Linked DNA regions of Macaca fascicularis. The protein of the gene in region 3 binds, or shares a complex with, the protein of the main gene of each other region. Links are inferred from orthologs where the notes say so. Each region holds a gene or a part of one and is shown on either strand. Other genes may lie near its edges. The genes, in order: GPR174, GPR4, GNAS, TAAR1, CCKAR, VIPR1 and HTR6.

Region 1 (3,945 bases), on a different chromosome or scaffold from region 3:
GGTCTTTCTTAATCTTGTATTACAGCATCTAGCATCAATTTGCACTTTGATTTTTGTTTGTTTGTTTTGTTTTGTTTTGTTTTGTTTTCTATGAGCACAGTAGGAAAAACTCTTTCCTATTATTGGAAGGAAACAGTGGTAAAGCCCAGCAACTCAAGGTCTGTTACAATATTAGGGCCTTTGGGGGAAACCTGAAGTGTGCCTGATATTGAGAGATTCTTGAATGCTCTCAAAATGAAATCTTTTAATATTTCCCAATGAATAATGAATTCCCAATGAATAAGAGACCTGGATTCTACCTTTGTCTCTGTCACAGACACACAGTGGTACTTGACCCAGTCACTTCACCTCTATGAGTCTCATTTTTTCCAACTGCACAATGTACACTATAAACCTACTTTACTTTCCAAAGCATAAAAGTCTCAGATGTTTGCCATTGCTCTGAAAGTGACCAGAGCTGAATCTGTTTCTGACAATTTCTTATTCTCTGACTAGGGATCTGGAGACTGATTCTTGAGACCTATAGCATACAAAGAAGGTTTTGGGTGGGGAGTCACTTTAATGGGCAAGGGAAGAGGTACCTACTGTGCCCCACTTTTATCAAGATTGGGTGGAAATCAGGAAAAGGAGTTTACTTCCCTTTTTGGTTCTGGGTAGCTCATTGGTGCCAAAGTATCTATGAGCAGAATGCAGGTGTGTTTCTTTGTCCTCTTCCTTTCAGTTACCTAGTACAAAGGGCCATAATAAAGTGCATTCATTCCTAGGGGTCTTCGGGTGAAATTCAGTGAGATATTGGGAGCAGTCTATGACTCACTTTGTGTTTATTCATCTTTACATTATTCGGCATCATATTAATCTGGCCCCAACAAAATAGATACACTAGATAGTTCCTATCTCATACACATATTATTACAAACATAGCAAAGTAGAGCAGTACACGTGTTCACAAGTGCAAAGCACATTATCTGTAATTAAAAGTATATCCTCCTTGAACACAAACTTCTTGGCATACCCAAATGTTTGCTAGTGTGACTGGTATAATCTTGCCCTGGGTGGAAGAACTTTAATCCTCTCTATAAGTTTAATGTTTTTGTGTTTATATCTGATATTTACAGAAGCTAAAGGAAAAATGAAATACTCTTTGCTGAATGATCCAAAGCTCTCTAAAGCATATAGTTCTGCTTATTGAATAAAATTATAACTTTTTCTTTTATGAAAAATTTTGAACAGTATAAAATAAAGTCCATGTACATTACTGTTGACAGGAGAGGATGGAGCAGGAAAGTTATTTGAGATTTAATCATGGGTCATGTTGTAACACATCCCTCCTCATTTCTATCTCTCTCTCACATAGGAATTCATGAGTTTTTTCTTTTAGTCTCTGAATGCAGTTCCTAGCAGTTACACACCATTTATAGTGTCATCATATGGTTTAAAGTCCAAAGGCACCGTCCTAAACATTTCCTCTTGGAGCACAAAAAGGAGACAACATGCAAACAAGGAAATAATTTCACTTACATTTTGTCAAAGTCAATTTTGAGTATCTAGAAATGTAAATTAAATTCAAAATCATTTTAACCGTTGTTGATTTTTTAATGTGCTGATTACTTACTTTCGTAGATAGAGCTTATCTATGAAAAACAGAGCAACTGTGCCTGTTATCTTTCTTATTTCCCCTTTCTCTCATTATAAACACGTTTTCTTAAACGTGTTTGAAAGCAGAATCTTTATATCTATCATTAATTACAACAATTAACTTTTACAGTGAAAATAAGTAACTTACACAAGCTGATAGGAACATGCATTTATATTAGCTAAGGTCCTGAAATATTATATCTCTCATTTTTCAAATAATCATTCATTTTGAAAAGGACACAAAGTTAACCAGTTTAATTATGCAGCAGATAAAAATAGCACCCCCAAAGAGTTATAGCAAAGAGTAGATAAAAATTATCCTGCACCTTTATGTAAGCAACTCTACTTAATACAAATGGGTTAAATTGCAAATGTTCATAGGACTATTTTATTCAATATCAATTGAGCTAAACACATTATTAAAAATATCTCCATGTCAAACTTAAATTTTCCCAAGTTTAAAGTTGCCTCCCTCCTCTGGCAGCCCATCATACACTTGTTTTTGTTTCTTCAAATACCAAGGAAATGACATTTAAGGATGGTCCAAGTTCATTATATCCATAACCATCCTTAGACTTGACAAGTTATACAGATCTTTGTGTGAAGAGTCCAGTTCTAGATATTAAGGGAAAAATGCACAGATGAGAGCTAATTATGCATAAATAATTAGAACCTACCATTTCAGTTTCTTTCTGTTTTCTTCAGAGATCTCCAAAGAATTCATGTGACGCCCACTCCAACAAGGATGCTACTGATCTGTGCATCAATTTAAGCTCCCTGTTCTGAAAATGACCAATCCAATTCTCCTTCACTAGCCAAAGAAAGAAAGAAAGAAAGAAAGAAAGAAAGAAAGAAAGAAAGAAAGAAAGAAAAGAAAAGAAAAGAAAAGAAAAGAAAAGAAAAGAAAAGAAAAGAAAAGAAAAGAAAAGAAAAGGAAAGGAGAGGAAGGAAGGAAGGAAGGAAGGAAGGAAGGAAGGAAGGAAGGAGTGAATACGGGAGAGAAGGAGGGAGGGAAGAAAATAAATAAAAGTAAAAATAATACAAAATAAAAGAAAGCCAAAAGAAAAATTATGAAAGCAAAAGGAAAAATATAAAATAAAATTATCAGGAATATCTAACCACTATCATGTTGAACATAGTAGTAAGATGTCAGAGTGAAATATGCAAGCCACTCTCTGTGTACACTGAACATTTCCGTTTTCCAGGGGGCAGCCAGCGTGCTCTTTTGCTTTCATTCTCTCCGCCCCCGCCCACCCCCGTTAATGATGCAGGGCTACACTACAGGCTGCATGTAGAGCCTGCAAAGCTTCACACTTAGGAAAAGAAATTCTTCTTTCTATTTCTAGGGCCACAGTTCATTGTCTTCTGTGGTTGCACTCAGCTTTGAGCTCATGATAACACACAGCCTATTTGCCTATTGAGTCCTTTGCTGAAGCTAGGAGCCCTCGAGTTGCTTCCATAGATAGTGGACCACCGCAGTCTTAGGGTGATCCTTTCTCACAGCCTCTCACTTGCATTCAGTTACCAAAGCGAAAATTCTCAAGAATGTTCCCTAGAAAACTGCCAATAGAAGAGGTAAAGGTGAGCATGATCTCTGCCTAGGGCATTCTTGAATACACAAACCTCTAAAATTCTCACATTGAATTAAATACCGCACTCCTTAAGAGGAATCTGGAGCTATAATCCACCTTCCACTTCCTGTCCACCCACTTCCCATTGCCCTCAGAGTCCCTGTTACCAAGAAATGCAGGTAAATCTCCATTTCTTCTTAGTAGTTAGGCAGGATCCAATGAAAAGAGGTTGGTTTTCTGCAGCCCAGACCCATTGCCACAGGCTCTTGAAGATGGTATTCCAAGGAGTCACAGAGTTCCAGACCCCTGAGACCAGTGCCACACTGTATTAGGCACTTAACACCCCCCTTCCCCACTCCCAAAGGTAGATGAACAGGAAGCAACTTGAGGTAATACCCATGACTTGGGTAATATCTCTAGATCAGAGTAAAGGGACTTTTCACATAGGCCATGGAAGAAGAAAATATGTTATTGCAGGTCCAGTCTCATGCCAGGACATACCTGTGTGGTACATTATAGGGAATACCTGGAGGGCTCTCCACCTCAAAATATCACCTCCACTTTGCCTGAAACACCAATATTCTAGAGGCAAGAATTTATTTCTTCCTTAGGTCTTGATTTTAAAATTCTCATTCTCCTAGAAATACACTTACTTGAAAATGTTGGTATGAATGAGTTTAGAACTGTAAAGGTAGGAGTACATGTTGAGAACAGGATATAAAGGAAAACTGAAGAGATC
Region 2 (3,903 bases), on a different chromosome or scaffold from region 3:
TTTGCTCTTGTTGCTTAGGCTGGAGTACAGGGGCACAATCTCAGCTCACTGCAACCTCTGCCTCCTGGGTTCTAGCGATTCTCCTGCCTCAGCCTCCTGAGTAGCTGGGATTACAGGCACCCACCACCATGCTCAGTTAATTTTTTATTTTTGTATTTTAGTAGAGACAAGGTTTCACTATGTTGACCAGATGGTCTCAAACTCCTGACCTCAGGTAATCCGCCAGCCTTGGCCCTCAAAGTGCTGGGATTATAGGCGTAAGCCACCATGCCCAGCCGAAAATTCAGACACTCTCTAACCCCAGGGCCCTTGCACCTGCAGTTCTCTCTGCCTGAAATGCTCTTCCCACGACAGCCACAGGGCTGAGTGCCGCACATCCTTCAAGTCTTTGCTGGAAAGCCACCGCAACAAGCCCTCCTCTGCCCTCCTTATTTAGATCAGACTCCAAGTCATCCTCTGTCCCCTCAACTGGCCTTACACAGAAAAATGTCCCCTTCACATTTAGCAATTCCAAACATTACATATTTTTTATTTACTTGTGTATGGTGAGCCCTGTGAAGGCAAGGCCAGGCTGCCTCAGTTATTGCTGTATCCCAGCCCCACCCAGCACAGTGTGCTACATAAACCTCTGTTGAATGAATGAATAAATACGCAGCCGGGTGCAGTGACTCACGCTTGTAATCCCAGCACTTTGGGAGGCCGAGGCAGGTGGATCATGAGGTCAGGAGATCGAGACCATCCTGGCTAACATGGTGAAACCACGTCTCTACTAAAAATACAAAAAAATTAGCCGGGCGTGGTGGCGGGCACCTGTAGTCCCAGCTACTCGGGAGGCTGAGGCAGGAGAATGGTGTGAACCTGGGAGGCGGTGCTTGCAGTGAGCTGAGATCGCACCACTGCACTCCAGCCTGGGAGACAGAGCGAGACTCCGTCTCAAAAAATAAAATAAAATAAAATAAATACCCTTTTCTCTTGTCCCAAACCTTCTTCCCAAACCTTCCTGCATCACTCCTCCAGGCAGTCTGCCCTGATTGCCCTTCACTTGAGTTCTGACATTCTCCCTCTTCATCCCCAGTCCTGACTTGGAGATCACTGTTTATCCAGAAACTTAGAATTGCTGTCTTACGTTCTCTCCCCTGTATGACCAGGGGCTTTACAAACATGATGATTCTATATCCTCTGTATTTCTCCTTCCACTTTCTCCCTGAGTCACAGACTTTTATCCACTTGTTGGAAAAAAAAAAAAATCTAACCTACTCTATTTGTCTTTATTTTCTGGAAACCAAATGTTTGACTTAATTTATCTGGCCAGACATGGTGGCTCACATCTCTAATCCAAGCACTTTGGGAGGCCGAGGCAGGAGGATCTCTTGAGCCCAGGAGTTCAAGATCAGCCTGGGAAACATAGTGAGACTCCGTCTCTACAAAAAGTACAAAAATTAGCCAGGCATGGTGGCGCACATTTGTGGTCCCAGCTACTTGGGAGGCTGATGTGGATCTCTGGAGCCCAGGAGGTGGAAGCTGCAGTGAGCCACGATTGCACTACTGCACTCCAGCCTAGGTGACACAGCGAGACCCTGTCTCTAAAAAAAAAATTTACTCATCTCCTCCTCCAGGAGGCCTTCCACAACTGCCAAACTGTGATGGCATCTGGGAGCACAAAAGTTGACCAGCGACACACCAACCTCACTCTTCCTAAGTTCTTGTATTCTTATATTAACATAGCCCTTTTTCCATACAATTTGCATACACCAGACCAGGAGAGAAGGGACTGTGGGATGAGAGGGGAAAACTGGGGGTTCTGTGCCACACGGGGTTCACTGTGCTGGTGGCAGCATCTTCAGCTGCACCTGGTCCCCCTGGGAGGGCGGAGTGGCCACCCAGCCGCCAGTCATGGCCTTGACTGTGCTGTTCCTCTTGGAGGTGAGTGGGGTCTCCAGGGTGAGTGAGGCGTTGGCCATCTCCTGGGGCTTGTCGCTGGCCAGAAAGCGGAGCAGGTTGTGCAGAGCCTTGGCCACGTCGCTGCGGGCACCCTCGTTGACCAGGCAGTAGAGGATGGGGTCCGCCACACAGTTGAGGCTGGTGAAAGCCAGTGAGCTGTGGTATGCAGAAAAGACGCGCTCCTCGAAGCCGCAGTCCCAGGGACGGCCCAGGTAGATGGCGCTGCGGGACAGCAAGAGCACGTGATAGGGCGCAAAGCAGACCAGCACGATGGCGATGAGGCTGAGGGCCAGCCGCTTGATCTTGGCCTTCTCCTGGCGCTCGGTGGACACGCTGCCTCGCACGGCACGCAGGATGCCCCGGTACGACAGCAGCATGAGCGCCCACGGGAACAGGAAACCCACGAAGACCCGATAGAGGTTCATCCAGGCCACCCAGCCTTCCATGGGGAACTTCTCAAAGCAGAAGGTGTGATTGTAGCGGTCTCGGAAGAGCTCGTCATGGAACAGGGGCGCCGAGTTGGCGCCCAGCTCCGTGGCCCAGACCACGGAGCTCACGGCCACGGCGGTCTTGACGCGGCGCAGGCGGGCGAAGCGGAGTGGGTGGGCCACGGCCAGGTAACGGTCCACCGAGATGCAGCATAGGAAGGCGATGCTGATGTAGATGTTGGTGTAGAAGATGAACCCGAAGAGCTTGCAGGACCCGGGGCCGTGGATCCAGTTGTCATGGTGCAGGAAGTAGTCCACCCACAGCGGCAGGGTGCAGATGTACAGCAGGTCGGCGATGCTGAGGTTCATCAGGTAGACGCCCAGCTCGTTGCGCTGTTGCACCTGGCGGTAGGCCGCCCACAGAGCCAGGCAGTTGGTGGGCAGCCCCACACCGATGACGAAGATGTAGAGGGATGGCGGAAACAGGTGGTCCACAAGTGAGTCCACGTGGCAGCCCTCCCACGTGTGGTTGCCCATGGTGGGCACTTCGGCTTCTGGGACGCTTCCCCTGGCCCACGGGGGCTGTGGGGCCACGGGGAGCGGGAGGCCATGGGGCCCCCTGAGCCCCTTCCTTGGAGGCTCAGGGGAACATGGTGGGATGTAGTCTACAGGGAAGAGGTCGGGTAGGCTGGGCTGGGCTGGGAAGGGCAGAGCTTGAGAGGGAAAAGTTGGAGGAGGAATGGAGTTACGACAGGAAGGAAGTCTGGAGGATGATGAGATTAATAAAGAGATTTGTCAAGGAGGTTATGTATAGAGTTAATCAGGGTGTCAATGAGGGAGTATAGGGGTGACACAAAAATTGGTCTCGGGGAGTGTTTATGGAGGGGACGAAAGCATCACTGGGCAACGGTGAGAAGGAGATGTTTGCAGGGCAGTTAGGAAGTATGTGTAGCCATACTGAAGTAATAATGGCTGGGGGATGTTCTAGAAGACACAGGAAATACATGAGACAGTGTTGAGATAGGACACAGGGCAGTTAGGGAGTGTCGGAAAGTCCAGGCAATGCGGATGGGAGTGCTGGCATTTCCTAGGACCCCAGAAAGAAACAGAGATAAGGTCACTAGTAAGGAGAACGTTCTGGAAAAGGAGGTGTCTGGCACAGGGTGGACAAAGACAAAAGGCTCAGTCTGGGGACTGCAGGAAGGAGTCTTAGGAAACAGGAAGCAGGTGAGTAAGGTCTAGATCAGAGATGAGTTTGGGGACAGAAGGGAAATTTGAATGGGGGCAGGGGAGGGACTCCAGATTGGTCCTGGTGGGGGCTGAGAGACTGGGATGAAGTCAGTTCACCGCTGACTTTGCAGTGCCTGTTGGGAGAGAGGACAACAGTGAGGGAGTCACGGACACTCTGACCTTCTTCTCCCCACACTCCTCACCATAATTGCTGTGGGCTGCAGAGAGTGGACACCCCAACAATGCCTACTTGAGCCCCACCCTAAGCAACCAGTCTCTGAGAACACAGATTTGAGGTTTCAGG
Region 3 (4,133 bases):
CTAGCAAGCTCTTCCCGCCTTTGGCTGGATCCCCTCCTCCCACTGTCGAGCCCCGAGCCCCAGCAGGCAGCCCTGCCACCCCCTACCCAGTTCCCCGGCGGCCCTGCTGCCCGCAGGCAGAGTCCGCCGCATTACCTAGAAGCAGCAGGCGGTGCGTACACATGTAGCCCATCTTTTCGTCCTGGAGTTGTTTGTCGATGAGCTTGCTGCGTTTCTTCTCTGCGCGCTTCTGGGCCCGCTTCTCCAGGGCTTCTTTGCGCATCTGTCTGCGCTTCTCCACCAGGGGTACCTTCTTGACCTTGGAGGAGTGCGAGGCTTTGGGCTGGGGACTCTCAGATCGACCGAAGCAGCCCCCGAAGGCTTGCATGAGGAAGTTGCGGAGTAAGTTGCGCTGGGGCTTTCGGCGGCGGCGATTTCGCCGATGCTGAAACCAGCGGATGCATCCGAAGGTCCCATCGTCGGACTCGTCTCCGCTGGAGTCATCGTCGCTGCTGGCCGCCCCTTCATCGTAGTACACGCGGCGGCCGCAGCTGCGCTCGGACTTGCCCCGCCAGGCAGACGCGCGAGCAGGCCGCGGAGTAGGCGGATCGGCAGCCTGGATCTCGGGGCTGGGGGGTCTAAGGTGATGGAGCTTGCGTCTGGCCCCGGAGGCAGGGGCTGCCGAGGCCGCCCGGGCGGCTTGGGCTGCCCGGGTGGCAGAAGCGGCTGGGGCAGTGGGAGCCCCGGCGTCAGGCGCAGCTGGGGCGACATGGGCTGCCCGGGTCTCAGCAGCCGCAGGGGCCGCGGGAACCTCAGGGGCTGCCCCGGCATCTGGATCGGCTGGGGCGTCAGGGGCTGCCCCGGCATCTGGAACCGCTGGGGCGTCAGGGGCCGCCCCGGAGTCGGGATCGGCCGGGGCGTCAGGGGCCGCCCCGGAGTCGGGATCGGCCGGGGCGTCAGGGGCCGCCCCGGAGTCGGGATCGGCCGGGGCGTCAGGGGCCGCCCCGGAGTCGGGATCGGCCGGGGCGGCAGGGGCTGCCCCGGAGTCGGGATCTTCTGGGGCTGCCCCGGAGTCGGGATCCGCTGGGGCTGCACGGGCTGCCCCGGTGGCGGTATCCGTTGAAGCTGCCCCGGCGGCAGGGGATCCGTACCCCGGAGAGGGGACTTTTCCTCCCTCCGCGGCATCAGCGGCTGTGCTTCCTTCCATCTCTGCTGCTTCCTCCTCAACTGGGGGTCTCTCTGCTCGCTCTCTCTTATCTGGGGCTCCGGAGACCTCGATGGGCGGGCCGTCAAGCGCGATTGGGGGGCTGTCCATGTTGACGGGAGCGTCGTCGACCCCAGCGGGGGCGCTGCCAATCTCGAGCGGGGGTCCGGAGATCTCCAACGGGGGGCCGCTGCCCGTGAAGTTAGGAGGAGGTCTGACAGCCTCTCGGGATGGGCTGCCGATGGCGCCTGGGACCCAGAGGGGAGGCGCGTTCGCGGCGGGAGTGAGGCGGACCGCACTCGAGGCCGCGACTGCCGCGAACTGGCCACCGCGGTCAACTTGTGCGATAACTCGGGAAAGCCCCGGGGGTGGGCTGTCGTCCCCAGATCCTTCTCCATCAAGCTCAAATGGCATAGTCTCCTCAGGGGGAGGGCTGTAGCCTCCTCTGGAGCCAGTCTTTGGAGGCCTGAGGGCTTGGGGCTCCTCGGGAGGAGCTCCGGGGACCCCTGCAGCACCTGGGCCTCCTGGAGCAAGGTCTGGGACCTGTAAGAGAGGTTGACTGCAGCCTGTCTTGGCAGGCTGGTCAAACTCAAAGGGCATAGCTTCTTCTGGTGGAGGGCTGTATCCTCCCAGGCCTGGTCTGGCACCACTGAAGGCTCCAGGTTCCACGAATGCTGGGCCGAAGGCCTCAAGGCCTGCATGGGCCCCACTGGGGGATCCAGGCTGCTCCAGTGTAGGCCAGAAGCCTCCCAAGCTGGGCTGTTCGACCTCGAAGGGCATTGCTTCCTCAGGAGGTGGGCTGTAGCTTCCATGGGCTCCAGCTTCCCTGAATGCCGGGTTGAGGACCTGAAAGTTGGGCCTGGAGACCTCTGGGGGTCCACAGGCCTCGCTGTCATTCTTGATGGGGATGGGCTCGTTGTGAGGCGGTTCGGTCTCCATCTCTTCGGCTGGGCTAGGCCCAGCACCGGGGGCAGCTGCCCCTGGGGCCTCCAAAGATGGTTGATCGGGCTGTTCCCCGATTTCAGGGGGGATATCGCGTTGTCCTGACATATTATTGCCGTGGAGGCAGTTGCGCACGCCCATAACAGGGTGGCGGCCTCTCAAAATAAGTTTGGGGCTCCGTAAGACGGAGCACCCAACCGAACTAGGGTGAAAAAATTATTATTGTTATTTTTAAATCAAAGTACCAGCTGGAAAGTTCACCAGCCTCACTTTCCAACCCTTGTGAGGTTGGGGGGCTTCAAGGCCTGGAACCCTAGACTGAGGCTGAAGCAACTCAATTGTTGCTGGTGGAGTCTTGGCTCCTTTCTGGCCACTTTTTATCCCCTCAGTATGCCCCCCAGCCCCTCTTCCTTGGTCTGTCCTTATGCCCTCCTCTCTCTTTCTTTCTCCTCCAGGCCAGTCCCGCCTGCTTGGATCTGACGAGCGTGCCGATTCGGTCCGAAAATCGCCAGTAGCGCTCTCTCGCTGCCACCAGAGGACGCCGGTTCCAGTGCCGAGCTGGCTCCAGCTCCAGAATCCTGCTCCTCGCGCCGCGGCCCGGGACTTTGGGTAAGGGGGCTGACGAGCGCAGGCCTCGCAGGGACGTTTTGGCTCCTTCCACTCCTCTCCCTGACTGATTTGGAATCTTTCTCCTCGCTTCTCCCCTGGCCAGAGAAAGCTCTCCTGCGTTGCGGGACACGTGACGCAAGACGTGGGCCTCGGGACGCTGGAGTACAGGAGCTGAAATCCTCCCTCCCCAACCCAACCGACTCCTCGGGGGAGGGGGGACTGAAGAAGGGTTTCATCACCCCAGGATACCCCTGAAACACTGAGTCATAGCCCCCAGCCTCCAGGCAGCTCCGGATCTCAAGCCCCTAGTCCAGAGCGCAAGGCTTTTGGTGCCTGAGAAGGGGCACAGGCATGCGTGGGGATGCGACAGGTGGTCGTGAGCCCACCAGAGAAGCAGAGAGAGACGAGGGAGAGGGGATGCCGAGTATGCGAGCACACAATTTGTTTTTTAAATGCCTTGGGTGTACTTTTTACTGCTTTTGTTTGTTGCTTGCTGAGGTTGGCTCCGGTAAAGCACTTTAACAGCCCCCACCCTCATCACACTCTAGGGGTCTCCGCAGTGGCCCACGCAGCGCAAGCAGGGTGCTCCCTTGTTTATGTGGATGGTGACGCAGGGGAATAAGAAGGTCTCGGGTGCGTACCACCAAGAGCAAAGCCCCCTAGGCAGTAGCTGCGGTGGCACCGATGGAGGGGTGGGGGGCGTGCTGCGCAGAGGGGGACCCCACAAAGCGGCCGCAGAGTTTCGCAGGTCCTGCGGTTCTAGGGAAGGGTTAAAGGGGATTTTGGTTGGCGTTTATGGCCGGTTTAGGGTGATTTCGAGAGTGGACAACGCTGTGGGCACTGAACCCACAGATAAACACCATGCCGCGCGGCAACCGCAGCTGAGGTGCGCTGCTCGCTGCTTCGGGTGCCGGCCGCAGCACCGGTCAGTCTGCTCCTTTAGCCCCACTACAGCCTGTCTCCAGCACCCTTCCAGCCCCTCTCCTCTCGCTATGGGTATCTTAGGGTAGTCGCTTTAGTTTTCCACTGCTAGAGCCTACTGAGGCGGCACTGAGCCCGCCAACCGGCCACAAACCCGGCGGTTGCCCGCGCAGCTGCGCTCCCGCTACCATGCTGCGGTGGGCTCAGAGCTAGCCAAAGGTAAATACCCAAACCACCTGGTGACCTTGGTGTGTGCACATGCTATGCTCTGGTCTGGGGTCTGCAGAGGGATTTGAGCCCGGGAGAAAAGCTGCTGTTAGGGGGTCACGTAAAACCCGGCAGGTGCGCATCAGGTCGGTCTCACCAGTAAGACAGATTGGTGAACCACGTCTAGGCACAGAGCAGCTGGGCAGGAGGCAGGGGGTCACCTGACCTGCAGAGTCCTGCGGGAGGAGAGGCTGGATGAGCGTTACACAGG
Region 4 (4,262 bases), on a different chromosome or scaffold from region 3:
CATAAAATTACTGCAAAGTATAGAAAACTCACTAAATGCTTGTTTCCTTTTTAAAATTTGACAGACTGGTCTCACAGGTGAAAAAACTCTTCTGAAACTGAGAGTGGTTAGGGACACTACTTAGTTTGTCTTGCGTATACTAAATTAAAAACATAAAACATAATGTTTTTAAAATGTACTAGAGCAAAACTTGATACAGATCATTCAGACAAAATATATACTCCAGAAACAGACTATAATTTCTGGAAGGATTTAACATATCCTCAGGAGATCCTCAGATTTGTAAACAGAAATTTATATGCAGCAGTGTGCATTCAGTTATGTTTAAAATCATCTGCCTTACCCTAAGTTATTCATGGGCCGAAGGTAAATCCAAATCCCTGGTGATACTCAATCTGAAACAGACCATGTGAAGTTTGTATTCATCAGCTCAATTGCTGATGAATGCTTGTAATTTAGAATGTTTGCCCACTTCCTTTAGAGAATCTTATTTGAAACCATTATTTGTTCCTCTTTTTTATTTTTATATATGCCATCTAAATAGCCATGGTATATCCAGTCTGATTATACCTCTTGTTGGCCCTCATGTTTAGCTACTTTGATGGATGGCTGCTTCTCTTTCTGTGTACTGTGGAGCCCAGCAAAGTAAATTTGTTTAATGCCAGATAGCCTGTGTTTTGAACCCTATCATGCCAGATATGACCTTAAGACATGGTAAAATCCTTCTAGACATTTTCATGACTTCAGTAGCAGGTAAAAAGCAGAAATTTCATTTAATTAATATTATTTTTAGAAAAGTTAGAAACAACTGGAATTGTTAACAATAGGGAATGGTTAAAAATATATTTGTACATCTGTGCAAAGTCACATTATACAGCCACAAAAAGGGATTACTCGTAGCCCAAACCTCAGCAGCATGCATTATATTTAGTTAACAAATGTGCACACATACCCCTGACTCCAAAATAAAAGTTGAAAAGGAAAAATATTAATATAAAATAAAGAATTTTAGATGATATAATCCTTACCAGGAAGTATGCTGTGAGTAACATTTTTAAAATTTCATTTGGTTTGTACATATTTTATTTTCCTTCATTTTTCAAATTTCTCAGACATATGAGAATCAGAAAAACATACTTTAAAAATATGAAACTCAAGATATTTAAGGATTGGAATATATATTAACAATATAAATAAATTATGTGTCAACACTTATTTAGCAGTAACATTTAATGTGTGTACTTTTAGTTGATTTTACTAAAAGACATATACACATATGTGACAAGGACATGTACACATATATGACAAAATCATTCTAATTTGCATCCTCAAATTCAGCCCTATAGTTTCCACCACTGAACAGCTAAGGTACCATAGCAAACTCATGGCAGTTCTTCTAAGGGCAGGAAAAGTTATATACAATGCAGGCCTTTAAATGCTGGAGTTGCAAAGTTCCGATATGCGTGGTAAGAATGGAAAAGATTATACCTCCTATATCCCAAATAGGAAATTACCTATAAGCATCATAATTTAACTCACCAAACATGCTTTGACTCAAGTAACTGATTAAAAAAATCCATGTGGTTGGGGCATGTGGTGGGTTATCTTGTGTTCATAAACATGATCACCAATTTGCAAAACAGTAAAATATAATAATTCTATGAACTCGATTCCAAAAATAATTTACACCTGGATGAATCCTTTTGGAAAATTTTACCAAACAGAATCATCTTCAGTGCTTTTCTAAACCAGGGATAGAAAAATGCATAAACCATTGGATTAAATGTAGAGTTCAAGTAGCCAAACCAAATCAATACATCGTTCAAAGTAGGTGGAATAGTGTAGTGAAGAAAAGGGTCGATGACTGTACAGACAAAGAAAGGGCACCAGCATATTAGGAAAACTCCCATCACAATCCCCAATGTCTTCACAGCTTTCCTTTCTTTGCTTTGTGAAATTCCATTTTTCATTTCCAATCCAATTTGGAGCTTCTGATTGGCATCATTAATTGATCTTGCCTGCTCTTTAGCTATAAGATATATTCTGTAATAGATACATAACATAATAGATCCAGGTATGTAAAAAGAAGTCATAAAGGCCAGTACCCCAGATATTTTGCTAAAGAACACAGAGCAACCTCCTCTGCAGTGAACATGTTTGTAATATATCTCTTCAGCGCCTTTGAAGTTTAGCTCCAGAAAGATCATCCCAAATGCAAAAACAGCAGGGACACTCCAACTAATGAAGATCATCACACAAACAACCAAGATATTGATCTTGGCTTTATATCTCAGTGGGTCACACACAGCATAGTAGCGGTCAATGGAGATGAAAGACAGATGGAAAATGGAGGCTGAGCTCAGCATAATGTCGGTGCTGGTGTGGATTTTACAGAAGACTTCTCCAAAATACCAACAGTGCTCAGCAGATCTCACCATGCTGTAAGGCATGACCAGACACCCCAGAAGAAAGTCCACAGTGGCCATGGAATGAATGAGCCAATTTGTCGGAGTATGAAGTTGCTTGAAGTGTGATATAGAAACAATAACTATCAGATTGCCGACCAATGTGGTCAGAATTATGAGCGCCATTAAACTGTACAGGGAAGCACGGACATCATTTGACCAGTTGTTTTTCACACAGGAAATATTAATTATATTGTGGCAAAAGGGCATGATTCCTGAGGGCTGTCAACCAGTTTACTTTTCCCTTTGTGTGTTGATTAATCTTTTTCCCAAATTTGTAATCAGGTTACAGTTCCTTCTCGTTTTTATTTTTTATTTGCACATACCTATCCCAGAAACCTAGGAGGGAAAAAAAAGAATAAATCATTGGCAGTTTGATTCCTCTCACTTCTAACACGTTTACCTATTACTTCCTGTTGAAGAGCAGTTATTTTGGAAGGAACTTTATTTCCAAGTTCCATTCAATAGTTCAGTACAGCAATTTTTAAAAACACTTTTACCTGGAGCTGGACATTGTTCTAGAAATACAAAGCTAAATTATTACGTTGAACTATATGAAACTTCCACATTTGTAGGTCAGAGAAGATCAAATGATGATTATGATCCACATCTACGGAAACAATCTGTGTCCACACAAAGCCAGTCTAGTGGGGGAGACTTACATTCTAAAGGGTAGAAAGAAATTGCCAGAAAATTTGGAATTAAAATATGTTTATGAAAAAGACAAGAAGTCTTTTAAATGTGCCTCTTGTGCAGAATTAATACCCACTAGTGCCCACTTTTGCACTTGGTCATAGGTAAGTTATATATTTCTTATTTTATAATAATTAATTGTAATAAGAAGCAGCTTACATATATTTATTTGCAGCTTGCAAAGTACTTCTACATATATTCCATGCATTATTTCAGTTACTGTTTTATTTGACACTTATAAGACCAACTTCATTTTTTGTAAGGAAGATATGATGCTTTATTAACCTCATTTTACTGGCAAGAAATTGAAGTTTAATTCACAAAATCATTAAAGCTTGACTATGAGCTGTAGTCTCAATGACTAGCTCAGTTTCTTTGATACCAGTCCAGTCTTTCTCTCCATTGCAGAAAGAACCAACTCGAGGTCAATTTTTAAAAATTAAGCTTTAAATATTCATATAAGAATTTATGGTGTCTTAAAAAATGGCAGCTACTAGTAAAGAATGATATTGTGGTCCCGCTTATTAAGGATTTTTGATATACAGACTAAAGTCTATGGTAAGAAGTGAAGTGGCATGGTACAAAGAGCACTGAGGTGAGAGCCTAGGGAAGCTGAGTTTCCACGTGGGCTGTGGGCAAGGCACACGACATCTTTAGTTTTTAAGTTCTGAAATCCAATCTCACTTTTAAACAGGTAAAAAAAATTATTATGAGTAGGCATCTTCTACTAGGCCTCCTTTTATTGTACTTCACTAAAGAACCTCAAAGTTCCAGGGAACTCAGTTTGAAACTGTCCCTTTTGTTTCTATATAACCCTGTAATTCTGAGCTAAATTCTAGAACTTAGATTCACACATACACATATATGCGCACACACACACACATATAACATATATACAGACATGTACATACATATATATAAAGAGAGAAGGGGGGAGAGACAGAGAGAGAGAGAGGAAGGAAGAAAAAGGAAAGAAAGAAAAGAGAGAGAAAGGAAGAAGGAAGGAAGGAAGGAGGGAGGGGAGAGAAGGAGAGAGGGAGAGAGGGAAGAGGGAGGGAGGGATGGAAGGAAGAAAGAAAAAGAAGGAAGGAAGGAAAGAAGGAA
Region 5 (4,199 bases), on a different chromosome or scaffold from region 3:
CCTGTCCCCGCCCCCCAAAAAATCAGTCCCTAATCTGTTTGTATACATCACGTCTCCCTGCTTCACTTCCTTCATAGTACTTACTACCTGAAATAATTCTGTTCATTATTTGCTGACATGATAGAAAAGTGCCTGGCAAATGATTGACTCTCAGTGAAGATGTGCTGAACGCAAGACTTCATGAATGACGAGGAAATCTTACTAACATCTTTTGTAATAAGGACCCAGGTACCTATGTTCAAAAGTACCTCAATCCTTCTAGTTAACAAGGGCAGAGACCACGAGAAATAACACTGTGTTTAGTAGCAACTTAACAACCAGCCAGCAGTTCTATCCACAGACACACACCACCGGGCATGGTTCCAGAACTAAAAAGGCACTAATTGCTTTTCTATAAGGAGGTAGAACACAGTCCCTCCGTGTTCTTTAGGCCTGATGGTCTGCATTATCGGATCTGTTACCGTGTTAATTGTTCCTGTCTCATACAGCCAGTTTGGGCTTTCTTCTGCACATGTCTTGGATGGTGACAGGTTCCTATATAGAGGAGTACTGGGGAAGCCTGTGTGTGTGTGTATGTGTCCGTGCGTGTGTACACATGTGTGTATAAAAGCAGCCACACTCTGAGAATGGTTAACAGGCAACCAGGCTGTCTGTGCTCAGGGCCCTAAGACTGGCCCAGGAAAGGGCCGGGGGGGTCGGGGGTGAAGGTGGAGCGGGCTTCGCTTGCGCTCACTGCCTTTTCCACAACAGGAGTGCAAATGCTTGCCCAGCTGGAGTGAGTGTGGTGAACTCAAGTCGCCTTTAGGAATGGCTGAAAAAGCCCACACCTGGAAATCACTCCCTCCCTGCTCCTCCACGGCAGGTTGCATTTGGGAGACGCTTCAGTCATTAGAGAAATGAGCCGGGAGTGAGCAATTCACCAGCTCTCCAGCACTTGGTGGAAAGCAGCAGGCAAGGATGGATGTGGTTGACAGCCTTCTTGTGAATGGAAGCAACATCACTCCTCCCTGCGAACTCGGGCTCGAAAATGAGACGCTTTTCTGCTTGGATCAGCCTCGTCCCTCCAAAGGTAAGTGTCGGAAGCTGTTATTTTAATCCAGGAAACTACTGAGTTGCGGGAGAAATCAGCAAAGGCAAGGCTGATAAAAAAATATACATAACCAAGTCATTGTGAGACAAGGCTGGATAAAGTCATATGTTCAGAAGTTTGCAGAAGAGATTAACAAGCAGAATAGAGTCAAATATTCTTATTGTCCCCCATGGGAGAGTTGGGCATTCATGAATAGGACTTGAGGGAACAAAAGCAGGGGAGGAAAAGCTGAGTGAAGCAAGAGGGAGTACAAGTGTCAAAGCCTGAACTTACAAGCACAGCAGAAAAGGTGTTGTCACCATGCAGCCGTTTTCTTTTCTTGGGGGGAAACCAGCGTGAAGTGGTTACAGTGAAATCATGCTTAGCAGCCAGGAAAGAAAGTGATCACTGTTCACTTGAGGAGCTTTGTTCTTAAGAAAAAGTGGTTCCCTGAGTGATCCTTTAACAAACCAACCTTCTACAAACAAAATAATTCAGTCTCTGCTTTCCTCAGTTTGTTTCTGCAAAATGTTGTCAGGACAGGAATGGTGGGTCCAGTGATGTACACCCCGGTGAGGGGGGAAATCGGCAGGAAATCACCCTTGGCTTCGGTTTTAGCATTCTGCTCTCATCACCTCCATCCCTCCGTCTTGCTCCTGTTGCTGTCTGCAGAGTGGCAGCCAGCGGTGCAGATTCTCTTGTACTCCTTGATATTCCTGCTCAGCGTGCTGGGAAACACGCTGGTCATCACCGTGCTGATTCGGAACAAGCGGATGCGGACGGTCACCAACATCTTCCTCCTCTCCCTGGCTGTCAGCGATCTCATGCTCTGCCTCTTCTGCATGCCGTTCAACCTCATCCCCAGTCTGCTCAAGGATTTCATCTTCGGGAGCGCCGTCTGCAAGACCACCACCTACTTCATGGGTAAGTTGCTGCTGGTGACTCTTTCTGGAGCTTGCCCCAGACCCCACTCAGCCCCAGACCTTCCCAAACCTCTGACAATCACAGCAGAAGACCTCTGCTGAGGGCTGAATCACAGAACATTAGGCTGTGCACGGCTGTGTGCAAGGACATTGCTGCTGACTTGACGGTCATCCTTATATGTTCCCCGTAAGTCGGTCCCCATCATCCACGTTGGAGGTCAGTTTCTAAGAGTGAAATATATTGATAGGAAAACACAGGGGCAGTTAATTTTGCCTGATTCTATTTGAAGGAAAGAGGGACTTGCTTCCTTCTGTTTGAAGTCAAAAGTGACTTTAAGCTGCTCTATCCCTTTCTGGAAGCTGTTGACTGTGTCCTGAGCTATACCCAACTTGAGTCCTGGCTTCTAGGGAGAGTAAGGATTATGGAGGAGGGTTCTTTGTCATTGTTCCTCTTGTTTTCTTAGGGAACAGGGGCTATTTGAAAACCAGTTCTATCACAGTTCCAGATTCTCTTGCCAGGATTCACTTCTCAGCCTGTTCTCCCCAAAGCTGGGACCATCTCTGGCAAAGGGAGAGAGGTCTCTGCCCCTAGATGAGGAGTTGAATTTGCTCCTGGGGGCTGTGGGGTCGCTAAGCTGACCCTGATTGGCTGAGATATGTAGCTGTTTGCCTATGCCAAACAAAAATGATGATAATGAAAATCACAAGAGCTAAATTTTTTGTGCTTTTATGCACCCCATGTGGTACTAAGTGCTTTGACTTTCATGATCTTACCTTACCTCCCAACCACTCTATGAAGTAAATGCAATGATTCTTCCTTGTCTCATTAAGGAGGAAACAGAGGCACAGAGAGGTTCATAATGTGCCTAAAGCCACACAGATGGTAAGCAACAGAGCTGAGATTTGAGTCCAGATTAGTAGCCACACAGTGGTGAGCATGCTACCTCAGTTTGCCAACTGCTGTGGTTCTCCTGGAGTTGAACAAAGACACATTTCTTGGTCCCCTCTGGGTGCCAGATTGCCTAGTCCCTTGCCCTTTCTGAGAATTAGTTGGGAGAGGGGCAGAGGTGGGAAATAAGCAGGGAGTTATTTTTGTTCTGACCCAAGCCTTGAAGAATATGCAGCAGTGAGCTGGGCTAGGGTAGTCTTCAATGACCGGAAGGCTTTAAAAGTCTTTGTTTTTCCCAGTTGAGGAAGTGGGATTCCGCACTGACAAAATGATGATGAATTTCTGACCCTCGTGCCACCAAAAACCAAGAATGTGTCAATCCGTGTCCAAGTCCTCTGAAAAAAAAAAAAAAAAAAGGACGAAACTTACAAAGGACAAAGATCATTGTTAAATAATGAAGCAATAATAATAACTAGTGCTGTAGACATCCAAGGCCCATCCATATATATCTTATGGTAATACTATTTGGGAACCTTAACCGGAGAATGTGAACCGAGGTTTAAAACGAGTGTTTTCATGGTGGCAAAACATTCTGAGTGCCACAAAGTTGTTCAGTTTGAAATGTTTAATTTTATGTTATGTAAATTTCAACAGCATAAAAACAATTTTATTGGCCAAAAGAAAAGAAACATCATTCTGAAAGTATTTGCAATACCATAATAATTTTGTTGGATTTTTAATTCCAATAATTTAGGTTCTTCTCTTAATTTTGCAGTCTCCTCAATACTAATAATTAACATTGATTAGCTCCTAATTTGTAGCAACAAGAAAAAGAATGCTTGCCTGCCAGTGAGTTTATAGTTACTGAGGATCCATTACACAGAACTGACTCTTAGAGAGTTTTGGGCTATACTCTCGACTCTAAATGTCATCAACTCTTTAGGGTAAAATCCAGTAAAACACAGCAAATCCTATCCCCAGAACATGAGTTTTTAGTTAATGGTTTGGGGGTCATAGACTTCTTTAAGACTCTAAGGAAAGCTAGAGCCAGGCTCCCTAGAAAAATGACGTTTTTGGATATAGTTTCAGAGAATTAGTTTATATCCATAAGAATAATGAGAAACTAAGGACCCCAGTTTCAGGACCTCTGCTCCCAAATTTATATTAATTCGGAGGTTTAAGAAATCTTGGTAAGAGATATTCAGAAGAATTGACAGAATTTATAGCGGAAGGACTCTACAGGGAATTTTAAGGGAATAATAGGACATTTTAATAAGTATGCATATACAAAAATAATAGAAATTTAGCTTTTTGGACA
Region 6 (3,500 bases), on a different chromosome or scaffold from region 3:
GTACCCACCCATCAATCCATTCGTGCATCCACCCACCTATCTACCTACCTGCCCCTCTGCCCATCATCTGTCCAATCTTCCTTACTTTACCCATTTATTCTGCTGCCTACTTAGCCATCCACCAACCTGCCCATCCACACCCCCACCCCACCCACTCATTCATCTAATGCCAATTTGTATTGAAGGTAGCTGGAAGGTATGAGGGAGAATTCTTGCCTGAGTTTGCAAGAGTCTGCTGAGTGTGGTGGGGTGGAGGGCTGTGGACTGTGGAGTGGGGCCCAGATGGAAGTGTGGAGGGAGACTGGGACTGAGAAGAGGGTAGGAGATGAGGAAGTAGAAATGAAGAAGAGAAGAGGGGAGAGTTGGCCATTCCTCCTGGGGTTCAGAGGACCTAGTGGAAGAATGGTTTTCTCAGGCAGACAAGGACCATGAAGGAGTCAGGGAGACCCATGAGTAGGGCAATCACGGGCCTCTGGGTGGCCCTGTTGGCATGACTGGAAGGTATTCTGGGCTTTCTGTCCCCTCCCAGAAAGTCCCCCATTTCAGATCAAGCCTAGATGTCTGTGAGCCAGGGCTTAAAGCCACCCTCCACCAGGAAACTGTCTGGCTTCCACTTCCTCCTGTACCCAGAACATTGGTTCCCACCCTTCCTTCCTGTACCCTTGGTTTGAGAGATCCTCAGAGAGAAGCCTCCCCTCCCCTAATGCCCGCACCACTCCCTTTGGTTGGAAAGTCCTTCCTCAGGTCTCACTTCAGTCCCTCCAGTTACAGGAGTTCTTGCCTTCCCATCTTCCCCCCATTTGCTTTTGGAGAATAACTCAGCTCTTTTTTTTTTTTTTTTTTTTTTCTTTTTTTGAGATGGAGTCTTGCTCTGTCGCCCAGGCTGGAGTGCAATGACGTGATCTCGGCTCATTGCAATCTCGGCTAATTTTTTTGTATTTGTAGTAGAGGCAAGGTTTCACCATGTTGGTCAGGCTGGTCTTGAACTCCTGACCTCGTGATCTGCCTGCCTTGGCCTCCAGAAGTGCTGGGATTACAGGCATGAGCCATCACGCCCGGCCATAGCTCAGCTCTTTACCAGGACAGTTATCTGTGCTTCCTTCTAGTCTCAGAAAAGCTTTGCAGTAATGAATCAGGAAGCCAGTCTCCATAATTATCCTTAACATGTGCACAGGAGGCAGCAGGTTCCTCCTCAGGTCCCGTGGCTCGCACTGCTCATGTCTGACTTGGCTTCTGGGACAGAACCTCTGAGAAGCTCTGGGAGTGGCCAAGGTGGGTCCCCTAGATTTTCTCTGCCCCTTGTTGAAATGCCTGAGATTCCAGTATGATCATTTCACTCTTTGGGGAGAAGGTACTGCTGACCCCTGATATAATGCACTGCCTCTGGGGTCATGCATGAAGCAAGGAGATACTGACCACAAGGAATGAGTGGGGGCTGGGCTGGTCTCAAGCTCTCTGTCAAAGCTTGAGGTACTCAGAGAGGGTCCCTCAGAATCCCTCGGAGATGGCCTCCTTAGTGACTGGCAATGAATTCCTTAGATGCTCCTTTTACCTCTCTTCCTTAGGAAGGCCCAGAACCAGCTTGATGTCAGGATCAGAACAAAAGAGGAGGAATGCATATGTTTGGACCCACTCCAGATGGCACGGGGATGGGGGGAGTAGGAAAAGTGGCATGGTGAACACAGCCCTTGCTATGCAGGTGACAGAGGGCAGAGTTGGAAGGAATGGAAGTCCTTGCACAGATGGGGACACTGAGGCTGTAAGTTCCCCAAGGCCACATAGGAAGTTAGCAACAGGTGGTACAGGGGCTCTGGGCTGTGGCCATGACGTGTCCCATTTCCCATCTGCTTTTCTTACTGGCGGGGGCGGGTCCGTGAGCTCCCAGATGGGTGAGCAACATCTTCTGTTGCCAGAGGGGAGTGTGATTTGAGGAGTTGCCAGGTGGGGTTGGGTGGGGGTTGGGCCATCCTTGGATTGAGGGGTGGGATGGGAGGGAAGAGGAAGGAGGGAGAGGGAGAAAGAGGGGGAGAAGAGGAGATTACGGTGGCTAAAGATAAGGGCGAAACTGAGGGAGGTGGGCCAGGGCCAGGGTCCTCACCGAGCCCTCGGAGCACCGGTCCGACTCCCCGCTGTCGAAGAGGGCCAAGTCTTTGATGAAGACAGCAGCAGCCCTCAGGATGAAGGATATGAAGAGGTGCATGTGGATGTAGTTCCGCGTGCAGTGGAGCTTCCTGCATGGGGTGGGCAGATCTGGGAGGCCAAAGGGGCCTTGGATCCCCACCCCAGCCAATGCTGTCCCATGCTCTGAGCAAGGGTGGGGCAGGGGAGCATGTGTTCTCCAGAGGGCAGGCCCTGCCTCGAAGGGGGTCCCATCCAGAACTACGAGCCCCACCCCCGGTACCCCATCCTCCTGTGCGGCTGGGCTCCCAAGTGCCTCAGCCTCGTGTGTGACCCCAGAAACCTCATTCCTGTGTGCAGACCCCACCCTCTGGTGCCCTGTCCCCAAGTGCAGGGCTATCCTAGGGGAGACTAGGTTGCAACACATGGAACAGCTCAGTCATCTGCCTTTCCCAAGGGAAGCTGGCCTGGCAGGAGCTGGGGACTGTGTGCTGCTGGGGGGCAACGGTGGAGGGGTCGGGGCATGCCTGCACCACGCTGGGCTCCACTGTGGGAGGGACACTTGCCAGGTTTCCTTTGAGGCCTGTCACTTGGGCTGGGCCTCACCTGAACAGGCTCAGGATAGCCGTGGCGACCAGAAGGGTGGCGAGGGACAGGCCGTAACCGATGGTGTAGCCGGTCTTCACAGAACCGTAGAACATGGTCTGCTGCTGTTGGAGGGACAGGGAGAGGCTCTTGGGTGGTGGGGTGGGAGGCTCATCTAGGGGGTATTGGCAGGGGTGGGGTGCCCTACACACTCTGCCTGCCCACCCCTGCCTCAGCAAATGAGCAGGCTGAGGTCTGAGGCTCCCAAGAGCAGCTGAGCGGAGCTCTTCAATCCCCTGACCCCTGACGCCCTGGTTTCCACAGACAGGGCAGGACTGTGTCTTAGGGTGGGGTGGGGGTTGAATGTACTCCCTCTCTTTGCATCTTTATGAGGGACAAGTTGGTGAGGGAGAGAATGAAGACCTTGCACGTCCCTTTTGTTAATTTCATGTCTCCAGCCATGTGCCCGGGTTCCCTTCTGTGCCATCTCTGAGCTGGGCACCCTAGGGGCCAGGTCTGCTTGCCCTTCAGACACCCCTTGAGGCCCTGTCTTTGTGCAGGGAGGAGAGGCATGCAGAGGTTGCAGGATGTCAAAGAAGACACTGGCACTAATGTCCCATTTTGGGCTCTTGGGAATTGGGGTTGGTGGGATGAGGGCAGTCTGGCCTTTCTTGGGGAGGAGGGCAAAGCTAGACCCCAAGGGTGTCTTGCTTGGTCCCCTCTCCTGATGCCCTCCCCATGGACGCAGGTGCAGTGCAGCACAACAGCCACTAGGTAAGCCCCTCCTTCCTCTCCGC
Region 7 (4,191 bases), on a different chromosome or scaffold from region 3:
TAGCACTTTGGGAGGCCGAGACAGGAGGATCGCTTGAGCCCAAGAGTTCAGTGAGTTTTGAGCGTGCCAGTGCATTCCAGCTCTCCAGGCTAGAATGAGCCAGGATAAATTCTAGGCTGCAGTGAGCTATAATCACGCCACTGCATTCCAGCCCTCCAGCCTGGGTGATAGAGCAAGACCCTGTCTCTTAAAAAACAACAATAACAACAACAAAAAAACAAGAACCCAGGGTATATGGCCCAGGGCAGCCATCCCATCCCTGAAGAAGCAAATCAGAGTCCCAGGCACCTGCCAAGACTCAAGAATATTCTGCAGGGAGCATGGATGGGGGAAGGAGCAGGGCCGCAGCCAGGACTCCCAGTCCATGTGGGGCCCTGTCCCCACCAGGTGATGGGCAGGGGTAGCTTTGGGCCTCACCACTGGGGTGGGACAGGCAAGCTTGTCTGGGGGACTGCCAAGGAGGGTGTTAGCCTTTCACCCCTCTGCCAAGTCCCCATGTGCCCAGTGACCTCCAAGGCAACCCTCACCCTCCTAGAGCTTTCGCCACCCAAGGCTACACCAAAAGAGCCCAGCTTGGACTTTCCTCAAGACCTGCGACCTAAGTCACTGGGTCTCAGGCCTGGTCGGTCTACACTCCCACCCCCTCCCCGAGGGTGGACAATAGGAGTCAGGTACACTGCGGCCTGGATGGCAAGAGCTGGCACTCACTTACAGACAATGCAAGGCCTTGAGCTAAGAGCACCTAACCCATTCTGAGGCACCGAAATTAGATAGGACCTACTATGCACAGTGGGGATCAAAACTGACCTGAATCAGGAGTTCAAGACCAGCCTGGCCAATATGGTGAAACCCCGTCTCTACTAAAAATACAAAAGTTAGCCTGGCGTGGTGGTGGGTGCCTGTAATCCCAGCTACTCAGGAGGCTGAGGCAGAAGAATAGCTTAAACCCGCAAGGTGGAGGTTTCAGTGAGCCAAGATCGCACCACTGCACTCCAGCCTGGGCGACAGAGTGAAACTCCGTCTCAAAAAAAACAAACAGAAAAACAAAACAAAAAAACTGACCTTGATATGTGTGACCCTCCTGGAGCTTATATTCAAGTCAGGGAGGCAGAATGAACAAGTCATTCTTATGACTTGTTCTTATGGAGAATAACAGGGGAGGGTGGATGGGCCTGCAGATAGGGTAGTCAAAGATGTCCCCTGGGAAGAGGGCAGCCGGGGGAAGAACATTCCAGGCATAGGGAACAGCAAGTGCAAAGACCTGGGCACAGAAGTAAGCCCAGTGCCTTCTAGAAGCATGAGAAAGGCTACAAGGCTGTTGTAGAGTAAGAGAGAGGGAGAGTGGAGGTGACACTGGAGAGGTTGGCAGTGCCGGATCCTGAGGCCAGATCCTGAGACAGGTTTTCTTTATCTGGAGCACAATGGGGAGCCTGAAGTCTGAAGCAGGGGAGCGACATGATCACTTCTTTTTTAATTGCTCCAGCTTCTAGGCAGAAGATGGAGAGTAGTGGGTCTGCAGCAGAAGCAGTGGAGCCAGTAGAAGTCTACGCAGCCTCCCCAGTAAGAAGTGGCAGTGGAGATGGCACCTGTTTAGAGGCAGCACCAATAGGTCTCGCTAATGAATGGCATGAGAGTGAAGGAGAAAAGTATTTCTAAGTTCCTGGCATGTGATGCCGAAATGGTGCCATTTGCCATGATGGGGAAGACCAGGGAGGCAAAGATGGGGAGAGTTGGGCCACCATAAATTCCCTGTTGTACATGGTGCCTGGGAGAAGCCTGCCGCCTATCCTGACGGAGCTATCCTGTGCTGGGTGGGTCAGGCATTGGGTCTGGAGTTCAGAAGAAAGGTGGGTGCTCACAACTGCCACGCAGGGCCATGAGCAAATGTGTGCTAAGTGGGGATGCCCAGGGGGTTCCCAGGGGCTGCTCATTCCTCTGCATCCCACAGCCCAGGTCTCCCTGCATACCCCGGGTACCTGCAGTGTCTCCGAGGCCTGGCTGGCCATGCCGGTGGTGAGGGAGGCCACCTGCACGGCTTGCTTTCGGGCAGCCAGCAGGATCCTGCAGTAGGTGAAGCATATGGCACCGGAGGGCAGGAAGAAGGTGAGGCCCGACGCCACGAGGACGAAGGGCAGGCTGGCCAGCAGGCGGCACTGGCCCGGGACTGGGGGCCGTGCGTGGCCCAGCTCGTGCCAGCCCAGCAGCAGGGGCAGGAAGGAGGCGAGCGCGGCGAGGCTCCAGGCGCCCAGGACTAGCGCCAAGGCACGCGGGGGCGTCATGCGCAGCTTGTAGCGCAGCGGCGAGAGGATGAGCAGGTAGCGGTCCAGGCTGATGAGGCAGAGGTTGAGGATGGAGGCGCTGCAGCACATTACGTCGAAGGCGGTCCAGAGCAGGCAGAGGCCGCGCGCCAGCACCCAGCGCCCGTATAGCGCGTTCAGCATGGCCGGCGGCATCACCACCAGCCCCACCATCAGGTCGGACGTGAAGAGCGACACCAGGAAGAAGTTGGACGTGTTGCGCAGCGCGGGCTGAGTGCAGATGAGCACGATCAGCAGCGAGTTGGCCGCCACCGTCAGCGCGATGACCACGCACAGCGCGGCCGCCACCCAGCCGCTGCCCCCCGGGGCCGACGGCGGCCCCGCCCCCCAGGCCGGGGTGCTATTGGCGGTGGGGCCCGGCTCTGGGACCATGGGGACCGGGGGTGGAGGGTAAGGGCGTGATAGGGTGGTGGGAAGGCAGGTGAGGGCCCCGGCGAAGCGCAGGCTGGACGGGCACCGTCGGCGAGAGCAGACAGCGACTCACCACGCCCCCCGGGGGAGGCGAGTGGGGAGACATGGGCGGGGGCACTGGGTCGCGCTAGGTCAGGGGGCAGCGACCACAAGAGGACGCAGAGTGGCTATTTGGGCGCCCTCGGGAACGGGGCAAGGACACCTGGAGCAAACGGGTTGGAAGTTTGGGGAGGGGCACCCGATGAGCCGAGGCCCCTAAAGGAAGCGGCGGGAAGTCAAGCAGATGTCGGATGGGCGCCCCGGGGTGGGAGCAGAGAGTCCTGGAGGGGGCGGGCGGCAAGATAGGGTAGGGGCGTCCGGCCGGGGCAGAGCTCGGGGAAGTGGGAGCGCGAGGAGGTGGGCGCGGGGGGTGAATGGGCGCTCTCGGGCCGGAGCAGACTCCCCGCGGCCGGTGGGCGTGTGGGGTGCCAGGGTGGGGTCTGCAGGGCGGGGGCCTAGGGGCCGGAGCAAAGCCCCCCGGGGAAAGGCAGGTCTCAGCTGGCGCGGAGGCACCGGGATCGGGCTCACACTGCGCGGGGGTTCGCCGGGACCTCCAGGCCCCGCGGGAAGCGGAGGGCAGCGGCCGCGCGGCGCCCCCTCCCCACCCGGCCGCAGGGTCGCCTCCGCCTCCCGCCCGCACTGGTACCTGGGGCGCTCTGGCTTCTCCGCCGCCTGCGACTGCGGCAAGCGCCGCGGGGCTGCGAGAGGAAGAGGCGGCCGCGGGCCGGGCGGGCGGCGGGCCCGGGTCTCCCGAACCCGGGAGGCGCCGCGAGGGGCCCTCACGCGCGGAGGAGCGGCTGGGTGCAGCCCGGAGCGCGCGGTCTCCGCGCCGCGGAGCGTGCGTCCCGCCTCCCGGTGGGCGGGGAGAGCCGAGCCCTGGCCCTGCAGGCGGGCGGGGTCCCAGCACCCCGGGCCTGTGGGCCGAAGATCCGAGCGCCCCAGCTGCGCGGGGTCACCTTCCGGGCTGCGGCAGCCCCCGCACTCCCAGATGCCCCTCCCAACCCACACGGGGCGGCGGCGCAGGCGGAACTCGGAGAAGGGGGCTGTGACCTGCCTTTATCCAGGGACTGCTCCCTAATGGGTGCCTGCCCACTCACAAGGGGGTCACCAGGCTTTCAGGGGAACCAGGAGTTGGGAAATATTGGACAAATCGCCTGACACCTCTCTGGGCCTCAGTTACCATAGCTGTAAAATGGGTTAGTAATTCTGGGCATTCTTCATCGTTAGTTTGATCAAGAAGCTAACCTTTCCCTGCAGAAACCATCCCGATCGCCAAAGGGGCCGGGTACTAAGGATGAAGTCCCTGAGCTGTTGGCGCTCCTAGTCTAACAGAGCGTGAACAGATTTGAGAATCCCCAGGCCAGGTGGGTTAGAGTCTCTGCAGGCAGAGGCCTGGGGTGTTGTTTCCCCTGGTTGTGACCTC

What was found.
Region 1: the proteins of GNAS (region 3) and GPR174 are in contact, whole or in part, in a cryo-EM structure (PDB 8IZB), measured with the Homo sapiens proteins. The link is inferred for Macaca fascicularis from reciprocal best matches to the Homo sapiens genes GNAS and GPR174. Residues at the interface, in NP_000507.1 of Homo sapiens: Lys34, Gln35, Arg38, Ala39, His41, Val217, Phe219, Thr350, Asp354, Gly355, Tyr358, Cys359, Tyr360, Phe376, Cys379, Arg380, Asp381, Ile383, Gln384, Arg385, His387, Leu388, Arg389, Gln390, Tyr391, Glu392, Leu393, Leu394; in NP_115942.1 of Homo sapiens: Phe44, Tyr47, Arg53, Ala54, Val55, Ile56, Phe57, Met58, Ile112, Arg115, Arg116, Phe119, Leu120, Met121, Pro123, Phe124, Phe126, His127, Asp128, Cys129, Gln131, Ser211, Leu212, Asp214, Met218, Gln220, Asp221, Leu222, Glu224, Lys225.
Region 2: the proteins of GNAS (region 3) and GPR4 are in contact, whole or in part, in a cryo-EM structure (PDB 8Z9O), measured with the Homo sapiens proteins. The link is inferred for Macaca fascicularis from reciprocal best matches to the Homo sapiens genes GNAS and GPR4. Residues at the interface, in NP_000507.1 of Homo sapiens: Gln31, Lys34, Gln35, Arg38, His41, Asp215, Lys216, Val217, Tyr358, Tyr360, Phe376, Arg380, Asp381, Ile383, Gln384, Arg385, His387, Leu388, Gln390, Tyr391, Glu392, Leu393, Leu394; in NP_005273.1 of Homo sapiens: Gln45, Arg49, Asn50, Leu52, Asp114, Arg115, Ala118, Val119, Ala120, His121, Pro122, Leu123, Arg124, Arg129, Arg130, Lys132, Tyr201, Ile204, Ala207, Val208, Gly210, Ser211, Val212, Ser213, Thr214, Glu218, Lys221, Ile222, Leu225, Asn290.
Region 4: the proteins of GNAS (region 3) and TAAR1 are in contact, whole or in part, in a cryo-EM structure (PDB 8W88), measured with the Homo sapiens proteins. The link is inferred for Macaca fascicularis from reciprocal best matches to the Homo sapiens genes GNAS and TAAR1. Residues at the interface, in NP_000507.1 of Homo sapiens: Gln35, Arg38, Ala39, His41, Asp215, Val217, Phe219, Thr350, Tyr358, Phe376, Cys379, Arg380, Asp381, Ile383, Gln384, Arg385, His387, Leu388, Gln390, Tyr391, Glu392, Leu393; in NP_612200.1 of Homo sapiens: Thr58, Asp120, Arg121, Ala124, Val125, Cys126, Pro128, Leu129, Arg130, Tyr131, Lys132, Ala133, Asn136, Ile213, Ile216, Ala217, Gln220, Leu223, Ile224, Asn228, Lys248, Ala249, Thr252, Phe307, Tyr308, Pro309, Trp310.
Region 5: the proteins of GNAS (region 3) and CCKAR are in contact, whole or in part, in a cryo-EM structure (PDB 7XOV), measured with the Homo sapiens proteins. The link is inferred for Macaca fascicularis from reciprocal best matches to the Homo sapiens genes GNAS and CCKAR. Residues at the interface, in NP_000507.1 of Homo sapiens: Gln31, Gln35, Arg38, Ala39, His41, Asp215, Val217, Phe219, Asp354, Gly355, Tyr358, Phe376, Cys379, Arg380, Ile383, Gln384, Arg385, His387, Leu388, Gln390, Tyr391, Glu392, Leu393, Leu394; in NP_000721.1 of Homo sapiens: Thr76, Glu138, Arg139, Ala142, Ile143, Cys144, Pro146, Leu147, Gln148, Ser149, Arg150, Val151, Gln153, Thr154, Lys155, Glu235, Leu236, Ser301, Ala303, Asn304, Ala307, Lys308, Arg310, Val311, Met314, Phe372, Met373, Asn374, Lys375, Arg376.
Region 6: the proteins of GNAS (region 3) and VIPR1 are in contact, whole or in part, in a cryo-EM structure (PDB 8E3Z), measured with the Homo sapiens proteins. The link is inferred for Macaca fascicularis from reciprocal best matches to the Homo sapiens genes GNAS and VIPR1. Residues at the interface, in NP_000507.1 of Homo sapiens: Gln35, His41, Val217, Phe219, Asp323, Arg342, Asp343, Leu346, Tyr358, Pro361, Phe376, Cys379, Arg380, Asp381, Ile383, Gln384, Arg385, His387, Leu388, Gln390, Tyr391, Glu392, Leu393, Leu394; in NP_004615.2 of Homo sapiens: Arg174, His178, Tyr239, Leu240, Leu243, Leu244, Ala245, Val246, Ser247, Phe248, Arg252, Leu319, Lys322, Leu323, Pro326, Asp327, Ile328, Arg329, Lys330, Ser342, Leu345, Leu346, Leu391, Asn392, Gly393.
Region 7: the proteins of GNAS (region 3) and HTR6 are in contact, whole or in part, in a cryo-EM structure (PDB 7YS6), measured with the Homo sapiens proteins. The link is inferred for Macaca fascicularis from reciprocal best matches to the Homo sapiens genes GNAS and HTR6. Residues at the interface, in NP_000507.1 of Homo sapiens: Arg38, Ala39, His41, Asp215, Lys216, Val217, Phe219, Leu346, Thr350, Tyr358, Cys359, Phe376, Arg380, Asp381, Ile383, Gln384, Arg385, His387, Leu388, Arg389, Gln390, Tyr391, Glu392, Leu393, Leu394; in NP_000862.1 of Homo sapiens: Arg124, Leu127, Ile128, Pro131, Leu132, Arg133, Lys135, Leu136, Ile211, Gln218, Gln221, Val222, Leu225, Thr226, Lys265, Ala266, Thr269, Leu270, Phe323, Met324, Arg325, Asp326, Lys328.

Annotation. Positions count from the first base shown.
Region 1 is NC_088395.1:85,831,960-85,835,904, reverse strand, and holds the start of GPR174 (probable G-protein coupled receptor 174), read right to left. Parts: upstream 2,801-3,945; 5' UTR 2,313-2,800; intron 1-2,312. UniProt on the Homo sapiens protein: G-protein-coupled receptor of lysophosphatidylserine (LysoPS) that plays different roles in immune response. Plays a negative role in regulatory T-cell accumulation and homeostasis.
Region 2 is NC_088393.1:53,656,564-53,660,466, forward strand, and holds the end of GPR4 (G-protein coupled receptor 4), read right to left. Parts: intron 3,734-3,903; 5' UTR 2,907-3,733; coding exon 1,818-2,906; 3' UTR 501-1,817; downstream 1-500. UniProt on the Homo sapiens protein: Proton-sensing G-protein coupled receptor activated by extracellular pH, which is required to monitor pH changes and generate adaptive reactions. Activated by an optimal pH of 6.8-7.2.
Region 3 is NC_088384.1:114,906,198-114,910,330, reverse strand, and holds the start of GNAS (guanine nucleotide-binding protein G(s) subunit alpha isoforms XLas), read right to left. Parts: upstream 2,801-4,133; 5' UTR 2,267-2,800; coding exon 136-2,266; intron 1-135. UniProt on the Homo sapiens protein: Guanine nucleotide-binding proteins (G proteins) function as transducers in numerous signaling pathways controlled by G protein-coupled receptors (GPCRs).
Region 4 is NC_088378.1:36,598,587-36,602,848, forward strand, and holds the start of TAAR1 (trace amine-associated receptor 1), read right to left. Parts: upstream 2,801-4,262; 5' UTR 2,676-2,800; coding exon 1,659-2,675; 3' UTR 1-1,658. UniProt on the Homo sapiens protein: Intracellular G-protein coupled receptor for trace amines, which recognizes endogenous amine-containing metabolites such as beta-phenylethylamine (beta-PEA), 3-iodothyronamine (T1AM), isoamylamine (IAA), cadaverine (CAD), cyclohexylamine (CHA), p-tyramine (p-TYR), trimethylamine (TMA), octopamine and tryptamine.
Region 5 is NC_088379.1:25,621,653-25,625,851, reverse strand, and holds the start of CCKAR (cholecystokinin receptor type A), read left to right. Parts: upstream 1-1,399; 5' UTR 1,400-1,614; coding exon 1,615-1,993; intron 1,994-4,199. UniProt on the Homo sapiens protein: Receptor for cholecystokinin. Mediates pancreatic growth and enzyme secretion, smooth muscle contraction of the gall bladder and stomach. Has a 1000-fold higher affinity for CCK rather than for gastrin.
Region 6 is NC_088376.1:105,375,611-105,379,110, reverse strand, and holds part of VIPR1 (vasoactive intestinal polypeptide receptor 1), read right to left. Parts: intron 2,829-3,500; coding exon 2,725-2,828; intron 2,232-2,724; coding exon 2,099-2,231; intron 1,535-2,098; exon of another isoform or gene 1,417-1,534; intron 1-1,416. UniProt on the Homo sapiens protein: G protein-coupled receptor activated by the neuropeptides vasoactive intestinal peptide (VIP) and pituitary adenylate cyclase-activating polypeptide (ADCYAP1/PACAP).
Region 7 is NC_088375.1:215,423,211-215,427,401, forward strand, and holds the start of HTR6 (5-hydroxytryptamine receptor 6), read right to left. Parts: upstream 2,801-4,191; 5' UTR 2,691-2,800; coding exon 1,968-2,690; intron 1-1,967. UniProt on the Homo sapiens protein: G-protein coupled receptor for 5-hydroxytryptamine (serotonin), a biogenic hormone that functions as a neurotransmitter, a hormone and a mitogen. Also has a high affinity for tricyclic psychotropic drugs.